2 linked regions of the Xenopus tropicalis genome follow. The protein of the gene in region 1 purifies or fractionates together with the protein of each later gene. This does not show direct contact. Links are inferred from orthologs where the notes say so. Each region holds a gene or a part of one and is shown on either strand. Other genes may lie near its edges.

Region 1 (8,708 bases):
AAACCTATGTATTTTCTAATCGACTAATTATAAAGCTAAATTACATCTACTACAATTCAAAAGCCAATATAAACCTTATCTTTACCTCCTCCATGCCCATGTCCCCTGTGCTCTCCATGTCCTCCATGACCACGGTGGTCTCCGCCATGTCCACGGTGCTCTCCGCCATGCCCCCCATGACCACGGTGATCTCCATGTCCCATGCCATATGGTCCATTTCTTCCTGGATGTCCCCTTTCACCTCCACGACCTCTCCCTCTATAGCCAGGTTCACCTCCTCTCCCTCCTCGATTTCGATGAAAGGGAGGAGGTGGAGGCCCTCTATCACCACCTCTCATTCCTCCTCTTTCTCCTCCATGGTGCCCTCCTCTCATGTTTTCATTTGGTGGGGGTTCCCAATAACCATCTCGCTGCGGGGGAGGTGGCCCCATCATGCGTGGACCACCTGGAGGACCATGTGGTCCTATATAAAAGGGGAGGGGGAAAAAAAAAACAAAAAAAAAAAAAACACATTTATGTTGTTTAGAATACCTGCTGTGCTTATACACCTATTTTTAACTTTTAACATTGCTTATCATTAATGATGGGGAGGGCAGCAAATTGCAAAAATAAAGGGACATGTTAGAATCCCTTGATACGACCTTTCAGAAAAACAAGCATGATGTAGGAAATAGCATTTTACAACAATTTTAAATTGATCAGCAATTGTGTTTAATCAATTTCAATTGTTCTGCACTTTGGCATTTGAACTATTATCTGGTTGTTTGGGTCAATGATCACACTGGGAGACCCAGAGACAGAAGAGAGGTAATATAGAGAGTAAAAAAAATTAAATAAATTGAAGACAGGTTGTAAAATGTTTTGTAATTGTATGTGATTTAATTTGGCAAGCATGCTTACCTTGAAATGGTCCATTGGGACCTGGTGGAGGGTAATGCTGAGGTGGTGGTTGATGATGTGGAGGTGGTGGCTGATGGTTTTTTGGAGCTGCAGGAGGAAAGCCATTATTAACTGCAACTGGTCCCTGTGATCCTTGTCCAGCTGTAAAAAAAAAGATTATTCTTTATTTACATAACACTATAAAATTCCGGAATGATTTGAAGAGATTGTATAAAATTCAAATCAGTACAGGCTTGTTTACAATCTTAGGCTTTATTGCATTTTCACACACACACACACACACACACACACACAATGGTCAATTTTATCAGGGTCCAAATGCCCTTCAAAAGTACATGGGGGTTACCCATTTAAGCACAGAGAGTCACTGCATACAGAACTAAAATCAGAAACTAGTCTGTGAGCCCCATTGTTCATAGACTTACCTGGCCCTGGTGGACCTTGGTTCTGATTTTGATTCTGCAAAGAGCCCAGTAGTTGCTTGATCTTGTCTGAAAAATCTGGCTGCTTCATTAGGTCCTCTGGTTTTGCATTACCTTGGGCACCCTACAAGTAAAAAGAAGCAATACATAAAATTAGGAGTTACCAATTTTTAAAAAAACAAAAAACAAAACACATTTCACACCATATCAAGGGGTTGAACCTGTGGGTATTAGTGACCATAACGTTATTTCATTTAAGGTTTGGTGCAGGAAACAAATATACGCTGGGGCAACAAAGACCCTAAAGTTTAGAAAAGCAAGTTTTAGTTCCAGTGATTCAGAGCATAGATTGGGGCAGAAATGGTTGTCATTTAAAATGATATTAAATCATTACTGTTCTCAATTTATTCCATTAATAAGAAAATGTAGAAGTGTTAATAATCACCCTATGTGGCTTAATTCTGAGGTACAGAAGTTAATAGGGAAAAAGGGAAAGCTTTTAAGAAATTCAGAGGGCACAGAAACTGCATTTAATGAATATAAACACTATAAAAGTGTTGTAAAACAGCAATTTGGAAGGCAAAAATTGAAAATGAGGAGTGCATTAATAGTAAAAAGATGCAAGTTGAGGGTGTGGCCCCATTGATTTATAGTAACAATATTGTTACAGTGGATACAGAAAAGGCAGATGTGCAAAACACCAGTTCTTTTCTTCTGTGTACACAGTAGAGGAGCCAGAGTGCCAAGTCCCACCCAATAGCTGCACTGTTGCCTCAGCTCCAACTACACAGTGGTTGACGGAGGATTTGGTGCATAAAGGGTTACACAAGATTAACGTGAACAAGGCACCTGGGCCAGATGGAACATACCCTCGGGTACTGAGAGAGCTAGGGGCTAGTTTTACAGTGGCCTCTGTTTCTGGTGTTGTCAGACTCTCTTTCATCTGGTATAGATACCTATGGATTGGAAAAAGGCTAATTTCATTCCTATATTTAAAAAGGGAGTAAGATCTCAGCCTGGCAATTATAGGCCAGTAAGTTTGACATCCGTAGTGGGCAAGTTATTTGAGGGCTTGTTAAGGGATGACATACAAAATTATGTACTCGAGAATGGCATTATGAGCAGTAATCAGCATGGCTTTATGAAGGACAGGTCATGTTAGACCAATTTAATTGCTTTTTATGATGAGGTTAGTAAGAAGCTGGACAGTGGGGGTGCAGTAGATGTGATCTATTTGGATTTTACCAAAGCACCCACAAACAACTGCTTTCTAAACTAAGGTCTGTTGGTCTTCGTGAAGTCGTTTGCACATGAATAGAAAACTGGCCACAGGATCGGGTAAAGAGGGTGGCGGTTAATGAAACATTCTCTACTGGGAGTAAGGTTCTCAGTGGGGTCCCTCAGGGTTCTTTACTAGGTCCACTTTTGTTTAACTTGTTCATAAATGACTTAGGGGAGGGTATTATAAGCAATGTATCAGTGTTTGCAGATGACACAAAACTCTGCAGACCAGTCAATTCTAATCAGGATCTGGCATCTTTGCAGCAGGATCTTGACAACCTGGCAATCTGGGCAGCTAAGTGGCAGATGAGATTTAATGTGGATAAATGTAAGTTCATGCACCTGGGATGTAAAAATATACCCTTAATGGGACTGCACTAGGCAAATCCATAATGGAGAAGGACCTTGGAGTCCTTGTAGATAATAAACTTGGCTGTAGCAAGCAATGCCAGGCAGCAGCTGCAAGGGCAAACAAGGTTTTGAGCTGTATTAAAAGGAGTATAGATTTACTGGAGGGGGGTGTTATTCTTCCCCTTTATAGAACGCTGGTAAGGCCCCATCTAGAATATGCTGTTCAGTTTTGGTCTCCAGTGCTCAAACGGGACATTATTGAATCAGAGAGGGTCCAGAGAAGGGCAACTGAAGAAAGACTGGCCAAGTTGGGTCTGTTTACACTGGAGAAGAGGCGCTTAAGAGGTGATGTGATAATTATGTATAAATATATAAGGGGATAATATAATAACCTCTCTAATGCTTTATTTGCCAGTTGGTCCTTCCAACTGACATGAGGGCACCCACTCTGTTTAGAAGAATGGAGGTTCTGTTTAAATATTCGGAAAGGATTTTGTTACTATGAGAGCTGTGAAGGTGTGGAATTCCCTCCCCAAATACATTATATAGCTTGGATGAGATCTTAGCAAGTGAGGGAATACAGGGTTATGGGAGATAGCTGTAGTACAAAGTTGATCCAGGGACAGGTCCGAAAATTTTTTTTTCCCCTCTGCGGCAAATTAGAGAGGCTTCAGATGGGTTTTTTTTGCCTTCCTCTGGATCAATTAGCAGTTAGGCAGGTTATATATAAGGCATTGTGGTTGAATGTGATGGACTGTCTTTTTTCAACCTAACTTACTTGCTATGTTACATGAATGCAGTTTTAGCTTAAATATGCAATGCAGATGTTCCCACAACATATTCTATACAAAACTCCTGAAATGCAGTGTCAGTACCATTATACTGGTATAAACAGAAGCTAAATCCCAAGATGGCCAAGTTGCTATCTCACATATGCTGATAAAGATAACACATTGAATGCAGCTATATTATTGGACTGCTCACCATTATGGATGTCAGTATTTCCTGCATAGTTCCTGGCAAAGGGTTAGGTTGTGTTTTGGAACTTCCCATGCTTCCCATTAGGTTAGCAAGGACAGGTGGAAGTTTTGCTCCACCTGATAAGTCTGGAGACTGAGATGCAAGGCTCTGGTCCATGGGTTCAGGGTAAACAGCATCATCCATTGAGCAATCCTAAAATAAAAAGGAAAAAGAAGGAAACATGTTAAAATGTGAGGTGCCTCCTTAATACTTTTGGCATACTCCATGATTTTATCCAGTACCTAAACCAGACATTAAGCTTACACTAGAATTATCTTAGTCTGTAATAACTTACCTCATCTAGAGGTATAAGTTTAGGAGGTGATGGTTCATATGATTCAGGGTCAGGTTCATGGGGTGTATCAGGAACACTGCAGCAAACAGATAAACAAGATGTATTTGTTTAAAAAATTACTGTCTGCCATTCAGAAAAAAATGAAGGAAAACATTTCACAATCATTTATTTATTTTATACAACAGCGATTAAACTTTTGTATAAAGGATGTAGACAAAAATTGCATTTGCCATTCTCACCTCTCCTTAGACAGAAAGATCTCCTGGAGAATACCCATTTCTCTTTCTGCCTGTGTGTGCTTTTCTGTGCTGTTACTTCCCATTTGCACCAAAGCCCCAGGAAGATTGAGAAGCCGAGGTGGTACCCAAGGAATGGTCTCCTCCATATTATCATGACTAAGGCGACGTGCGTTTTGAAAAGCTTGCCGGTCCTTTAACATCTCCCGCTTTGCTGCTTCACCAAAGTCTTTAATCTTGTTTACATTGACTGGAAAAGCATAAAGGTGTTTTTATTTTTAAGGCCCAATACATTAGTATTAATGGATACCATGATGTAAACTGCTCTCTTTTTCAAGAGTACAAATATCAATATCAAAGACACTGTAGACTTGTTCATCTTACTGTATATACTAAAAAAAAGTTGTGCTTGTGAGATTACTTAACAGTGGAAACAATATCTCATTAAGAGAACAGCACTAACCTCTCTCAGTTTCATCCAGCTCAAAATAGAAGTATTCCCTGAGGCGGCTCTCTTCAGGCCAACTGACTGTTTTCCTTTTCTTCCCTTTCTTGGTCAACTGAGAAGCATCAGCTTCAGTAGGCTTGGTTTCAGAGGGCACAGGAGGAGGTGGTGTTGATGCAGAAGCTGTAAAAAATCAATTAGATTGTAAAGAACAAAATAATTGCAAAAGGAGAAGTAAAATGCCAACATTGAGATAAAACAGAGTCTTACTTTCCATGGGCTCTGGGAGTTCAACAGCTGGAACTGGTGTTCCTGGACGCTCCACTTCCATTCCTTCTACTGGGGGCTCTGGCTCAGGCGATGAAGGTTTGGCGATACTACTTCCTTCAGCTGGGCACTTGCTATCAAACGGACTGGGCTTTTGGAAAAGACAGTGCACATTATTCTACATTAGAAAAGCTGTAAATTCATAGGCATGATAAGGTTCCCTGGTGTAACCATCTATTAAATCAGTGGAAAGAAGGTACTAGGTGTTTGTTATATTGTTTACTTAAAATCAGATGGATAACCGAGGCTACCAGAATTTTTTTTTAGTTACATACCTTATTACCAGTAGGTGAACTACCCTTCTTTTTCTTCTTGATTTTTATTCCAGGAACAGGGGCTGAATTTAATGCATCTAAAAATCCCAAACTCTCCATGGCTGCAAATTAAAATAGAAAAAAGTGCAGTTAAATATAGTTTTCTTTTTTTAATAATGATGATAATCTGTACAATGGCCTGTTAAAAGTCTGATTAGAATTGAGGTGATGGTACAGAGTTTTTAAATTTAAAGGAAGAGCACATGTAGAGTCAGTGGTATGATAGCTAGGGTAAAGGTAATGGCACAAGTAAACAGATTTAAAAAGAACTTACGCTGTGGTGGAATTATCTTGACCTTAATTTCTTTAGTAGTGTTAGGAACTGTGTTCAGAGGTTTGTATTTTTTCTCTGCTGGAGCTGCATCACCAGGAACTGGAACTGAACTAAGAAAGCAAAAAATGGTGTTAAAAACTAATCAACAACTCGTTAAGCAATCATGATACAAGCTGTTAAACTGCAAAGGAAATTTAATACAGCATCCGTTTTGCAGGGCCATTCAGTGCTTTTTAAAAGATTTTCTACAGCTGGTATTCTAAAACCAGTAAAAGCACTCATTATGGCAAGTTTATCAACCAATATTTATGGCCATACCAATATCATTTCTGTTACTTCAATATTATCACATGCCTTTTCTTAATTTTTCATGTTACTGCATATCCCGTAGGAAATTATTGTTCCACATGTTTTCATTGCCAGTATAATCTTCCAATCTTAATGTTTAGTCTGTAGCTTCCCTGGTTTCTAACTTATCACAGCTTTGCTTTTTTGCCAGCATTCAGGGCCAGGCCAACATGTAAGAGTGCCCAAGGCAAACCCCACCAGCCATCACACACACTGCCCTACTTGGCTTCTCTGACCTTAGCCCCCCAACCCCATGCTCTCTGCAACCCTGTCTCCACCCTCCCAGCATTCAGTACCTCTGCTTCTGTAACAAAAATGTCCTGTGCAAAGTGGGAACCACTTAATTCTCTTAAGCCAGAATGTGCTTCCTGATCCCGATTTTTGTGCCAGTATATACACAAACAGCATGCTCATGTCCTATTTGGAGGCCACTGCTGAACAAATTTAAATATAAAGCAGGAGCTGAAAAAGTAAGCAAGAAGAGGCATGGCTGTCTGTGCCCCCTATTTTCAGTGACATAGGCAGCTCCACTTTTGCCAGCATTTGTTCACCTATCTCCTGCTAAGATTACTTTTTCACCTTAGCAAATTCAATTTTAACAGACAATTCCAAAAAGCCACATCATCTCTGTCTAAAGGACAACAGAACCAGGACTGCTCTTTGTGTATGGACTAAGTAAATAACTTGATCATGTCTACTAATTTGGCAAAGACCAAGTAGTTTTCACAAAAATATGGTTTTCCTACCTCGGTCTCTTTACAGGAACTGGTTTCAAATACTTGTCAGACAGGACCGGAACAGGTGTAGGTTTCTTAACAGGAACAAGTGACGGAGCTTCTACTTCAAGACCTAAAAAAACAGTGAACCTTTGTTTACAAAAAACAAACTCTATGTCTGTGCTATCCCCCACTTCACTTATACAAAAGCTTTCCTCTACAACAAATGATTCTAAAATTATTTTAACTTCTTCCATGTGGTCGGACAGCTATCGACTGACTAAATTACCAATTTAAACAGTATTTCAACCTTTGGAAGTATCATGCCACAATGAACCCAGAGTAATAGACAATCAGCTCTCCTCACTTGGCTAAAGTGTTGAAAGGTAGTAAGTGCTGCTGGGCTAGCGACAAAATGTGATACAAAAAAGTTGTGCAGTGCTGCATGATTAGTTATGTTGACATGTTCCTTATAGTCATACCAATGTGTTTATCAGTTTCAGTTTATCACTTATAGGGCAGAACGTTTGATATAAGGCATAACAAAACTGTGGTGTAAAGGTGATACCTTTATTGGCTAACCAGGATGATAATCACAGCAAACTTTCAGAACAATTCAGTTTCTTCTTCAAAGCTCATTTTACGCTATAACTATTTCAACTGGCTTAACATGGTACTAAAAAATTACCTGGGACATTTTCAAAGAATAACCCAAGAATATAGAAATCTGCATGAACAATAATGGCTTATATTCATTCAGAAATGGTAAAAATTACAAAAAATATATACACTACATTTGAGGAACTGAACTAATATGTGGTAACCAAGTTAACAAAGATGAGAGCAGACAAGTAGCTGTTGATGAATTGAAATATGCAAGAAATGTGGTGTGGTTTGCTTTACCAGTGGATCTAAATTTTGCATGACTTGGGGCTGTTGTACGCAGAGTTTTGGGCTTCTCCTTTTTTTTTTCTCCACCATCCTCTGCTTTAGCTTCAGATTTCGCTTCTAAGGTCTTGTCAAGGACTGGGCTGCGGGCTTTAGGATCCTCTTTTTTCTTTTTCTTCTCTTTATCTATGAGGAGGAGGCCTGGATTAGTGTTTAAATAAGGAGGACATGTATTGAAAAATTATTTTACCTAGACACAGGGCAGAACAATAAAAGAGGTAGATTAGCAACAGCTAATAACAGCTCCAGCTATAACTTGCTGCTACTTTATAAATACTGATGATGATGATTTATTTCACAGAATATAGTAAACTATCTTGGATGCACCCCGTTTTTAACAAGAGGATATACACACAGATGGAGAACAAAAGTTGAATACATTAAAAATGTTTCTATACAAATTGTAAGCCACCGTTAGTACATGTACTTAATCATAGCATCTACAAACCGGATTCCAAAAAAGTTGGGACACTAAACAAATGGTCAATAAAAATCACGGAACAAAAGTTTAAACTGAGAAAATGTACCATTTTAAGGGAAAAATATGTTGATTCAGAATTTCACGGTGTCAACAAATCCCAAAAAAGTTGGGACAAGGCCATTTTCACCACTGTGTGGCATCTCCCCTTCTTCTTACAACACTCAACAGACGTCTGGGGACCGAGGAGACCAGTTTCTCAAGTTTAGGAATAGGAATGCTCTCCCATTCTTGTCTAATACAGGCCTCTAACTGTTCAATCGTCTTGGGCCTTCTTTGTCGCACCTTCCTCTTTATGATGCGCCAAATGTTCTCTATAGGTGAAAGATCTGGACTGCAGACTGGCCATTTCA
Region 2 (9,203 bases), on another chromosome or scaffold:
AAATGGGTTATGTTTCAAAGATGGACAAAGAGTTAACGGAGTAAAATTTCACTAGCAGAAAGATATTGTTTCATCTTGCAGGTCTGCAAATGCTGCAAACTAACTAGATTTAGGGTATGAAAATGCAAGGAGGGTCCAACAGTCAGGCATTACAAAGCAGAACATCTCTAATCTTCCTAAAAATGTACATTTGAGATACACCAGTTAAATAATTGCCTATTTTTCTTGCTGTGTTAGCAACGGCACTGGGACAAAATCAGAAACCAATCTTTTGGAATTCTTGTGAAAATCCTCATATTTATATGCTTATACCTATTTGATCAAATCATAAAGCTTACAACATTGTTCCTTCTGCAAATTCCAACAAGGTCAACACCATTCAGTAGACTTTATCCTACATCATTTCACATACCTCTGTCCCTGTAAGAAAAGGGTGTCCTGGCCCTGTGATTGTAAGGTAATTGTCGCTGCTCCCCGGAAACTGCAAGTCAGAAAGAGAAAACATAATAAGGAGAAAATAAAGGATTTTTAAAGTATGTGCCTATTCCAAACCTTCTGTGCAACTGAACCTTTTTCATAGTTCTATATAAACATTTTTGAAAGCTGTAAAATACAATGGGCACCTGTTAACAGCATGTCATGTCCTACCCTTCTTGGTACCTGAAATAAGATGCAGTTTGCACAATAAAAGTACAAGGTATTACAACAAAGAATATACAAAAGATCAAGCAGCACTCTCTCATCTGTAATGTCTCCTCCGTTCATGATAAAGATGCAGCTTTGTATATGCCTTCTTATCTTTGCAAGATGTATGCCAGGCATTCCTGCCCTGCCAGTCTCAGATCCAGCTGAATTTTTACATTCCGTGGCACTTCCTCCACATTCCTACAGGAGTGAACTGCAGTCCTTATTATGTGCCAAATTTGCATCCAGCTACTCCGGCTTTTGTGAGGGTAAATGTAGACCTATACAAACCAACCTTACAGAGCAAAGAATGACTAAGCTTAAAGGGATTTTGTCATGATTTTTATGGTATGGTACTTTTTTATTTTTAAATTAAAATAAAATAATTTTACATAGCAAATAATTCACTATCATTTAAAATGTTATTCTTGAACCAACAAATGTATTTTTTTCTAGTTGTAATATAGGCATGTAGGCAGTCATCTCAGTGCATTGTGCCTGAGTCTGAGTTTTCAGAAGGAGCCAGCGCTACACATTAGAACTGCTTTCAGATAACCTATTGTTTCTCCTACTCCCATGTAACTGGAGGAGTCCCAAGCCAGACTTGTATTTCTAACTATTGAGTGCTACTCTGATATCTACTGGGAGCTGCTATCTTACTACCTTCCCATTTTTCTGTTGATCGGCTGCTGGGAGGGGGGTTATATCACTCCAACTAGCAGCTAAGCAGTAAAGTGTGACTGAAGTTTATCAGAGCACAGGTCACATGGCTGTGGCACTCTGGGAAATGAAGAATATGGCTAGCCCAATGTAAAACTTAAAAATTAAATATAAAAAAAGTTTGTGTTTTTGAAAAACGGATTTCAATGCAGGATTCTGCTGGAGAAGCTCTATTAACAGATGCATTTTGAAAAAAAACATGTTTTCCCATGACAGTATTCCTTTATCATCCTTATCTGCCTGCAGCCTGCAGTTCTATAGTACCATGACATAAACGCTGTCCATACAGAACATTTTGGGTAAATTAACCTCAACCTTAGGGTAAGAACCCACAGAGGTTCAGTCGCCTGTGATAGATCTCTGCTATCATGGGCAACAATCCTCTCTGAAATAGCTTTCCACCAGCAACAATAGAAGTCAGGCGACGAAACCGCTCCATGGGTCCTTACCCTAAAGGATTTTTAGAAGAAACTTTGTGCATATCATGTTATCTAAAATGCAAATAAGATGTGCATATAAAGCTGTGACTCTCAAACCTTAATTTGAAGTGTTTTTGTAGTGCTTGTCAACAACTGGTCTGCAATTTTTTGTTACACACATAAAATCAGTTATTGATGAAGAAATATTACCAACATACTGGAAATTTGAGCACTTAAAACATGCATTTAATAATACTAATACTTTTTACATATAGAATAAAACAATCTTATATAATACATCTTAGCAATGCTGTAGCACCCACATTTTGTTAGTGTGTCTCACCTTGCTATACCCATACACTCCATAGAGAGGCTGAGAGTGGAGCAAACCTGGCATATCAATGGAGCATGGAGCTCCCTCATCTCCTGTAAATAGCATGTGGTGGCCAGGGAGGCCCCCATCACTGCCATCTGTGTCCAAACCAGAAAATAGGTGTAGGTCCATGAGTCGAAGAGCTAGCCCCCTACAGAGCACACAACACTTCAGTTACACAAGGGATAATGACCTCAAGCACAGATTGAACTATAGCATCAACTATCCCAAAGCTAATGACTGAAGAAAGGTTGAGAGTTGCACAGCAAGAAAGCTACAGGTTAGATTCTGATGAGTCTGTGGGAAGCAAAACCTTTCACTACCTAGTAACACAACACCCAACAACAAACACCACAATTTGCAAACCATATGAAGCCTACATTATAGTTGAATGAAACAGTCTATGTTTTGAGGAGCACAACATTAATGCAAGCTGTGTAATGCAAAGATCAGGTAAATACATAGGGGCAGATTTACCAAGACACAAACGCTCGGAGCGTTCATTCAAACGCTCTGAGCATATTTTCATCTAATTTTCCTGCTGTTTACAATCGCTCAGTACGAAAATTTCGTGACTTTCGAATTGCCAATACGATATTATCATGACTAATATGATTTTTCCGTAAGCATATTTGTGATATTTGCGATCTTCAGAAATGATCGTATCCAATCCGAATTTATCCCATTTGGGATTCGAACTCACGTTTTCATGAATGTGCCCCATAATTATGTGACACTAAGGACCGCTGGTCTATCTGAGGCGTTAAGCACTCAATGGTAGGTCCCAATTTCATGGTGCCAAACAAAACCACAAAGCCAACACAAAGATAGGCACTCAGTTCACGAAACAGGCAAACCACAACAAGGTTTTTTCTCCCGAAGGAAAGAGGCATCACCAACACAAAGTCTATTGATCCTCAAATCATGCAAATTCTTAAATTTTTTCATTTTGTGGTCTAACATTTAGCCAGGACCCCTCAGCTCATAACAAGAGGGCAGATACATGGGATCTTTTATACAGAAACCCGTTATGTAGAAAGTTCCAAATTACGTGAAGGCCATCTCACAGACTGCATTATGAGCAAATCATTTTTAAAAATTAGAATTATTTCATTTTTCTCTGTAACAATAAAACAGTACCTTGTACTTGTTCCTTACTAAGATATAATTAATCCTTATTGGAGGCAAAACAATCCTATAGGGTTTATTTAATATTTAAATTATTTTTAGTAGGCTTACGGTATAGAGACCCAAATTACAGAAAGACCCCTTATCTTTTCCCATGACCAAAAATACACTTTTTGGTCACTACAGGGCGGCTTCTTAGCCTGCAGATAAATGGCAGAGGCAGAGAATTCGCCCGTACGCTTCAAGAAGCTTATGGACGTGCATGCACCTGTAATCGCATCAGTCCACAGGCACCGGATTTCCCTACAAAAACTGCAAGTATGCAGTTACGTGTGGAAATCCACTCTGTGTGCAAGCAGAGAATCCACCCCGTGTGGCAGGAGCCTAAGTGCTCTCATACTTCACTGCATTAACTTGAGGGAAAAAAAAAAATTGTATTTTAAGGGAAGTCACCCTTTTTTGGAACAACAAAAGCAATTTTTAAATACGCATTATGAATCACATCAGAGTTATTTACAAAGTACTTGCTATTAAAAGCAGAATCTGTCTGTTTTCTGCACTGCTGCTTTTGCTTTCAATTGTAATTACATTTACAAATAGCTTTAAATTAATTGAAAATGTTTAATTAATGTATAGTGAAATGTTTAACATCTTTCATTATGCAACAAAAGTTGGAGAGATTCCCCTTTAAATTGATCACACCCTTTTCTTTATTCCATTTTTCACTTCATGTCTAAGTTAGCTAACTAAAGGTATAATTTCTCTATATTTTTGCTCTGATCAATGGTTAGCACTCTGCTTGTATGAAAAGACCAAAGAATTTTCCTGTGAAATAAAATGCTGCACTGCCTCCTATTAAAACAAGTTACAATGACAACTGTTACAGCATTCAATAATTATATAAAAGCAATATTTTATTAATCACAGAAACATTGCTGCTAATTATGCAAACACTTCTGAGGCTGCTGCTGCAGAGGGGGGGGGCTCCTTTGCTTTCATGTATCTGTAACCTTATTATGAACTAAGGGGCGCTCTGGCCAAGTTAGATCTCATGCATGAACTAAGAAACTCAAACAACCACTGTCCAGTGAGTGAAGAAAGAACATGTAACTGATCTATTACAGCATCTTGCCATATAAAAGTAAATAAACCACAAATGACCCTTCTCTGGCTTCTGAATAACAGCATTCATCTCTATAACATTTTACTATTAGTGACACAGACAATAACAAATAGAAGCTTCCATGTTAATGCTGGCAGTAAACAAGCTGTTTCACCACAGATACAAATAATAATAGTAATTTCAATTCACAGTACAAGGAATGCAAGTCTTCTATCAGGCACATCACTCTCAAAGAAACACATTACTTATCCACAACCCCATAGCCAATATAAATATTCAATTGACAGGAACCTGTTACCACTGAAACGAAACCCCCAACACAACACGTTCTGAAGAAACTATAAGTATTGGCACCAGGGGATTAGAGATACTTGACGCACCGCGACATAATAACAACTACATTGTACGATCTTTAAATGCTACACGTTTTCTGTGTTTGATCCGCAGGAACTATAGTTCCCTTCTCGCCACTTCATTAACCTGCTCTAATGGCCCACATAATCTGCGTTTTGAAAATCACCACCAACACGCATACGGAATCAAACTAGCTGTATACCGCGTTAAAACCGAAACTAACACAATAAAATACGTAATTTACCCAACTCACCTCCATTTTCACGGCCTGAGACTCTTCTTCTTTTCAAGCACACTTCCCCGCCTCTACAAAGATGGCGAGACATCCGCTTCCGGTAAAAGCAGCGAAGCCATATTGGTACAGTAATGCTGCTACTCATTCCTCCTATAGTATAACAATAGGATGTGAGGCAGCCATAGAGACTATTCATTAGAATGCTACACGTATCGAATACAAAAGAGCGAACATCCGGCTTAGTAAAGAACGTCGCTACAAGCCGTACACCAGATAGAGAGTCTTTTCCGGAAGCAATAGAGATGAGACTGCGTGGCAAGAACGTCTCTCTGGGAGCTCTAGTTAGAGTAAGGCAGTTCAAAGGAAGCCTCCTCCCCGTAATCACCTGCCTTGGTGGCTCTGACGATTGCCATCATGTCGTATGCCTACCTCTTCAAGTATATCATTATTGGTGATACAGGTGCGTACGTATTTTAAATGATTTTATCTATCGGTTTACGAATATTGGGTGCTATTATTATGCTCTTGTAACCTTGATGCTTTTTAATTTTATTTTGTGTATTAAATATAAAATCATGCATATGCTAGCATAAAATGAGAATATTCCGAGTTTATGTACAATAATATATTATTTTTAAATAGCAGCTCTTGGTGTTCTGTTTTGCAGATGTTTTTCAAATTTGTATGCAATTACAGATTTGTGTATATGTATATATCTTTGTATTTATACAGGTAATGTTAGGAGCCACATCATTAAATATTATAGAGGCACATTGCAATTTGTGTATCACTTATAACAGTGATGGGTAGTTTTAAAGCTGAGTTGCCAGAGCCCCATATTTTCTCCATGAATAATCAGAAAGAGTGCACATATTTCATGTTAGTGATAATGCAATACAATGCATTTTATTACATTAAGAGCCGTATTTCCTACAGTTTAACTTTATAGAAACAGAGTAACACATGATAGGTTGGCTAAATAATAATTTAAAGGTGAACTCGAAAAAAAACTGTTTTTGTTTTGAATAAAGACAGAAAATGCAATGCAGCTTTTCAATAAACATAGAATACTTTTTTTGTATGGTTTTAAATAGTAGCTTATGAAAGCAGTATTATCCAACTCTTTCTGCCTTGCTGGCCTGATTGCAGAAGCCAGCTGATTAACACCCCTGGAGGGGAACTCACCTCTGCTACATGGTTGCAGGAATAAGAATCAGAGAACAGAAAAGGATAAACACATATTGCCTTCAGTAGTGATTTCACTGGTTTTGATGTTATTTGCAAATGTAATCTTTTAATCCATATAGGTTGAGGTAATGCTTGGAATTACAACTCCTTTCATTTTGTAAAAACAGTTTTGTGGATTTTCTCTTTAATCACTGTCTTTAGTTTTTATAAGTGGCAATGAAATTATTTTACGCTATGTGCATGTATAGTAGTATCTCCAGGTTCTCCTTAATCTGTGGTGTAGCAGACTAAGGCCTCCTTACTGTATAATAACCTAGTGCATGGTACTGCAGAAAAGTAAAAAAATGATGCTTTTAGCATATCTGATTTTTATATCTCTTTGCTATTCCCCCATATCTACCCTTATTACATATTTGCATGCAATCAAATAAGTACATAGATGAATGTGATAGCTGCAGTGATTTTCAAGTGTTTAGGAAATCTTCCACCCCTCCAAAAAATAAAAACAGTGCACAAAAGCCAAGGTAAATTTCAGACAAAGGGAGTGATGATGCTATTAAAAACCTGGTAAAGACTGAGGGAACCAGTGGCCTGAGATACAAGGAGAGATACAGATATTGTACCAGGGACTATAAGCCTCCATGATGGTTCTGTGAAATTAATTTTTTTTATAGGAAGAAAGTATGACATTTTAATTAAATAGGCTGTGCATAAGACAATAAAGGGGTTTGTAACGTGTGTTACTAAGGTGAAGTGCAATAAGCAGGGGCGTTAGTTTTGGTTGGTGGGCAAATGGGGTTGTTAGAAATGTTTTCCTAATCTAAAGTTGAGGAATATGGTTAGTAGGGAGAGAGTTAGGTGAAATACTAAACTGGAAAGTTTGATTTTCTGTGTGCTTATTAACCAGTCAGTTTTATAGTGGTGTATTGAACCTTCAGGCAGCTAGGTAAAAGCAGCAAGGCAAACAGGAACTCAATATCTGTGAGCTGGCCTCTCAGCTGGAGTAAATCCTTAGAAGGCCTCCTCAATGCAGCCATATTAGAAGTAACTGAAACAGCAGCTTCATGCAGCTATTAATTCTGAGAACAACCACAACTTCATGCCTGCCAGGTGATACACTGTAGCTGAAGACTAAAGAGGTTAATGTAATAGCAGGTACAATGTTTCCTGCAGGTATAGATGTTTGCTTTACAACAGCAGATGAGTGAATGCTACCTGCTAGCAGGTAATTAGAAGTGGAGAAAACTATAGTTCTAATCTATTACCACCCAAAGTAAAATAATAATAGTAATTTGTTTGCAGATATATTTATTTTGCTGAATGCCAGTTGGGTGGTAAATCCAAACTGGATACAGCTCAGTGTCACACTCTGTTAGGGCAGTGACCCACAGAGCTACTTTTAGCCAGCTATTTGGCGTGGCTACAATATAGGCAATACTGATAATTGTCTCTACGTGTGTTTTAGCAGAGAAAATTTTCAGTATTGTCTATGGCAGGGTATTTTCTGGTGATTTGTAGCTGTGACAAGTAGCTTTATGTCATAGCCTCTAAAATTACAGCCCCCAGAATAACATACCTTTCGCTCTGCATGCAGATTTATTTTGTTGCTCTATTACAAGCAGCTGAACTGTATCCCTTTACCGACTGCCTTGTCTTGCATAAAACTCTGCCCCCTTTCCCTTATTGAGCACTCCTTCTTTAGCAGATTATGCAGACCTATACTGGGCATGCTCACTGCGCCTGCTTCAGTTTAAATCAATAATGCATGCACAGTAGGCACCTCTTTGAGGTCATTTATTGTTTGATATGGAAGGAGGCATCATCTTTTCAGGGTATAGAACAATGTTTGCTTGCTAACTGTTTGTGTAATGTGTACATATATAAAATGTTATAATGCACGAAGTGCATTTCCTCTGGTTTCGACCCGTTGAGCACATATCGGTACAATACAATTTTGCTTTTTAATATAATCTGGTTCAGTGTTATAAATGTGTGCTGGTTATTATACAAGTGCTTACCAAACGAGTGAATGTGCAAAGTTCTGTGTTTTTGCTCACAGTGCACCTGGTACCCCCACCTTTACACCCTCTACTGCCATTATTGATGCAAGGTTGTGTTTCTGACACTTGCACTTGCTGTCTGCCACACAAGTTTTAAATGCAGGTCTCCCTGCTAACAACATTGCAGCCAGTGCAAGGACACAGAATGCAGCCATTATGCACATGGCTAAATCACTATATGAATGTGTACATTTTTACACATTAGCACAAATAGCATATGCGTTTAGCATAAGTGACCCCTATGGTGTTTGTACCAGCGTGTATATATGTATATAATTTCTACTATTTGTAGTGTTTGTATACATACTTACATTTCATTTTTTTCATAGGTGTGGGAAAATCTTGTCTGCTTCTTCAGTTTACAGATAAGAGGTTTCAGCCAGTTCATGATTTAACAATTGGTAAGTCAAGTTTTGAGCAGGAAGCATTGTAAATCTTTGAGAATTACCCTGAGTAGTGGAAGAAGAGTGGCTGTGTTCTTATTTTTTTAACAAGAGGTATCATTAAATTTCCTTACGGGCAATGTCCCACAGGGAAAATAGTCGCCCATGATAAATCTCTCTGTGGGACATTAACCCATAAGACCATTTGTAACTGTTTCTCTATCTCACTTTTTCTCTCCACAGGTGTTGAGTTTGGCGCACGCATGATAAATATTGATGGAAAACCTATCAAACTACAGATATGGGACACGGTAAGAAGGCAGACTGCCCTTAGTGTTTATCTTCTGAATCTTCGTGTCCTCTTCTGATCAGTTCGGCAACATTGAGCTTGCTGGCACACGCACAGTTGAAAGTAATCCCAGAGTATCTTTAACTGCACATGCGCCAGGAAGCTACATGATTCCGAACTGATCTGAAGAGAGTGCGCAGATTTAGAAGATGGCTGTTCTGCTAGTATAGGTCAGCTTTACTATCAG

Evidence for each region.
Region 2: the proteins of ppp1r10 (region 1) and tox4 purify together in Homo sapiens (affinity purification with mass spectrometry; 3 studies listed by BioGRID and IntAct, counting the BioPlex papers as one, with this or other methods). This does not show direct contact. The link is inferred for Xenopus tropicalis from reciprocal best matches to the Homo sapiens genes PPP1R10 and TOX4.

What each region holds. Positions count from the first base shown.
Region 1 is NC_030684.2:75,435,486-75,444,193, forward strand, and holds part of ppp1r10 (serine/threonine-protein phosphatase 1 regulatory subunit 10), read right to left. Parts: intron 8,019-8,708; coding exon 7,833-8,018; intron 7,063-7,832; coding exon 6,960-7,062; intron 5,976-6,959; coding exon 5,866-5,975; intron 5,654-5,865; coding exon 5,553-5,653; intron 5,369-5,552; coding exon 5,221-5,368; intron 5,134-5,220; coding exon 4,969-5,133; intron 4,756-4,968; coding exon 4,509-4,755; intron 4,346-4,508; coding exon 4,270-4,345; intron 4,128-4,269; coding exon 3,939-4,127; intron 1,447-3,938; coding exon 1,326-1,446; intron 1,042-1,325; coding exon 901-1,041; intron 464-900; coding exon 86-463; intron 1-85.
Region 2 is NC_030677.2:141,988,541-141,997,743, forward strand, and holds the start of tox4 (TOX high mobility group box family member 4), read right to left. Parts: upstream 4,851-9,203; 5' UTR 4,836-4,850; coding exon 4,828-4,835; intron 2,348-4,827; coding exon 2,167-2,347; intron 482-2,166; coding exon 413-481; intron 1-412. Other genes in the region: rab2b (ras-related protein Rab-2B), read left to right, coding at 5,451-5,496, 8,614-8,685, 8,911-8,978. UniProt on the Homo sapiens protein: Transcription factor that modulates cell fate reprogramming from the somatic state to the pluripotent and neuronal fate. In liver, controls the expression of hormone-regulated gluconeogenic genes such as G6PC1 and PCK1.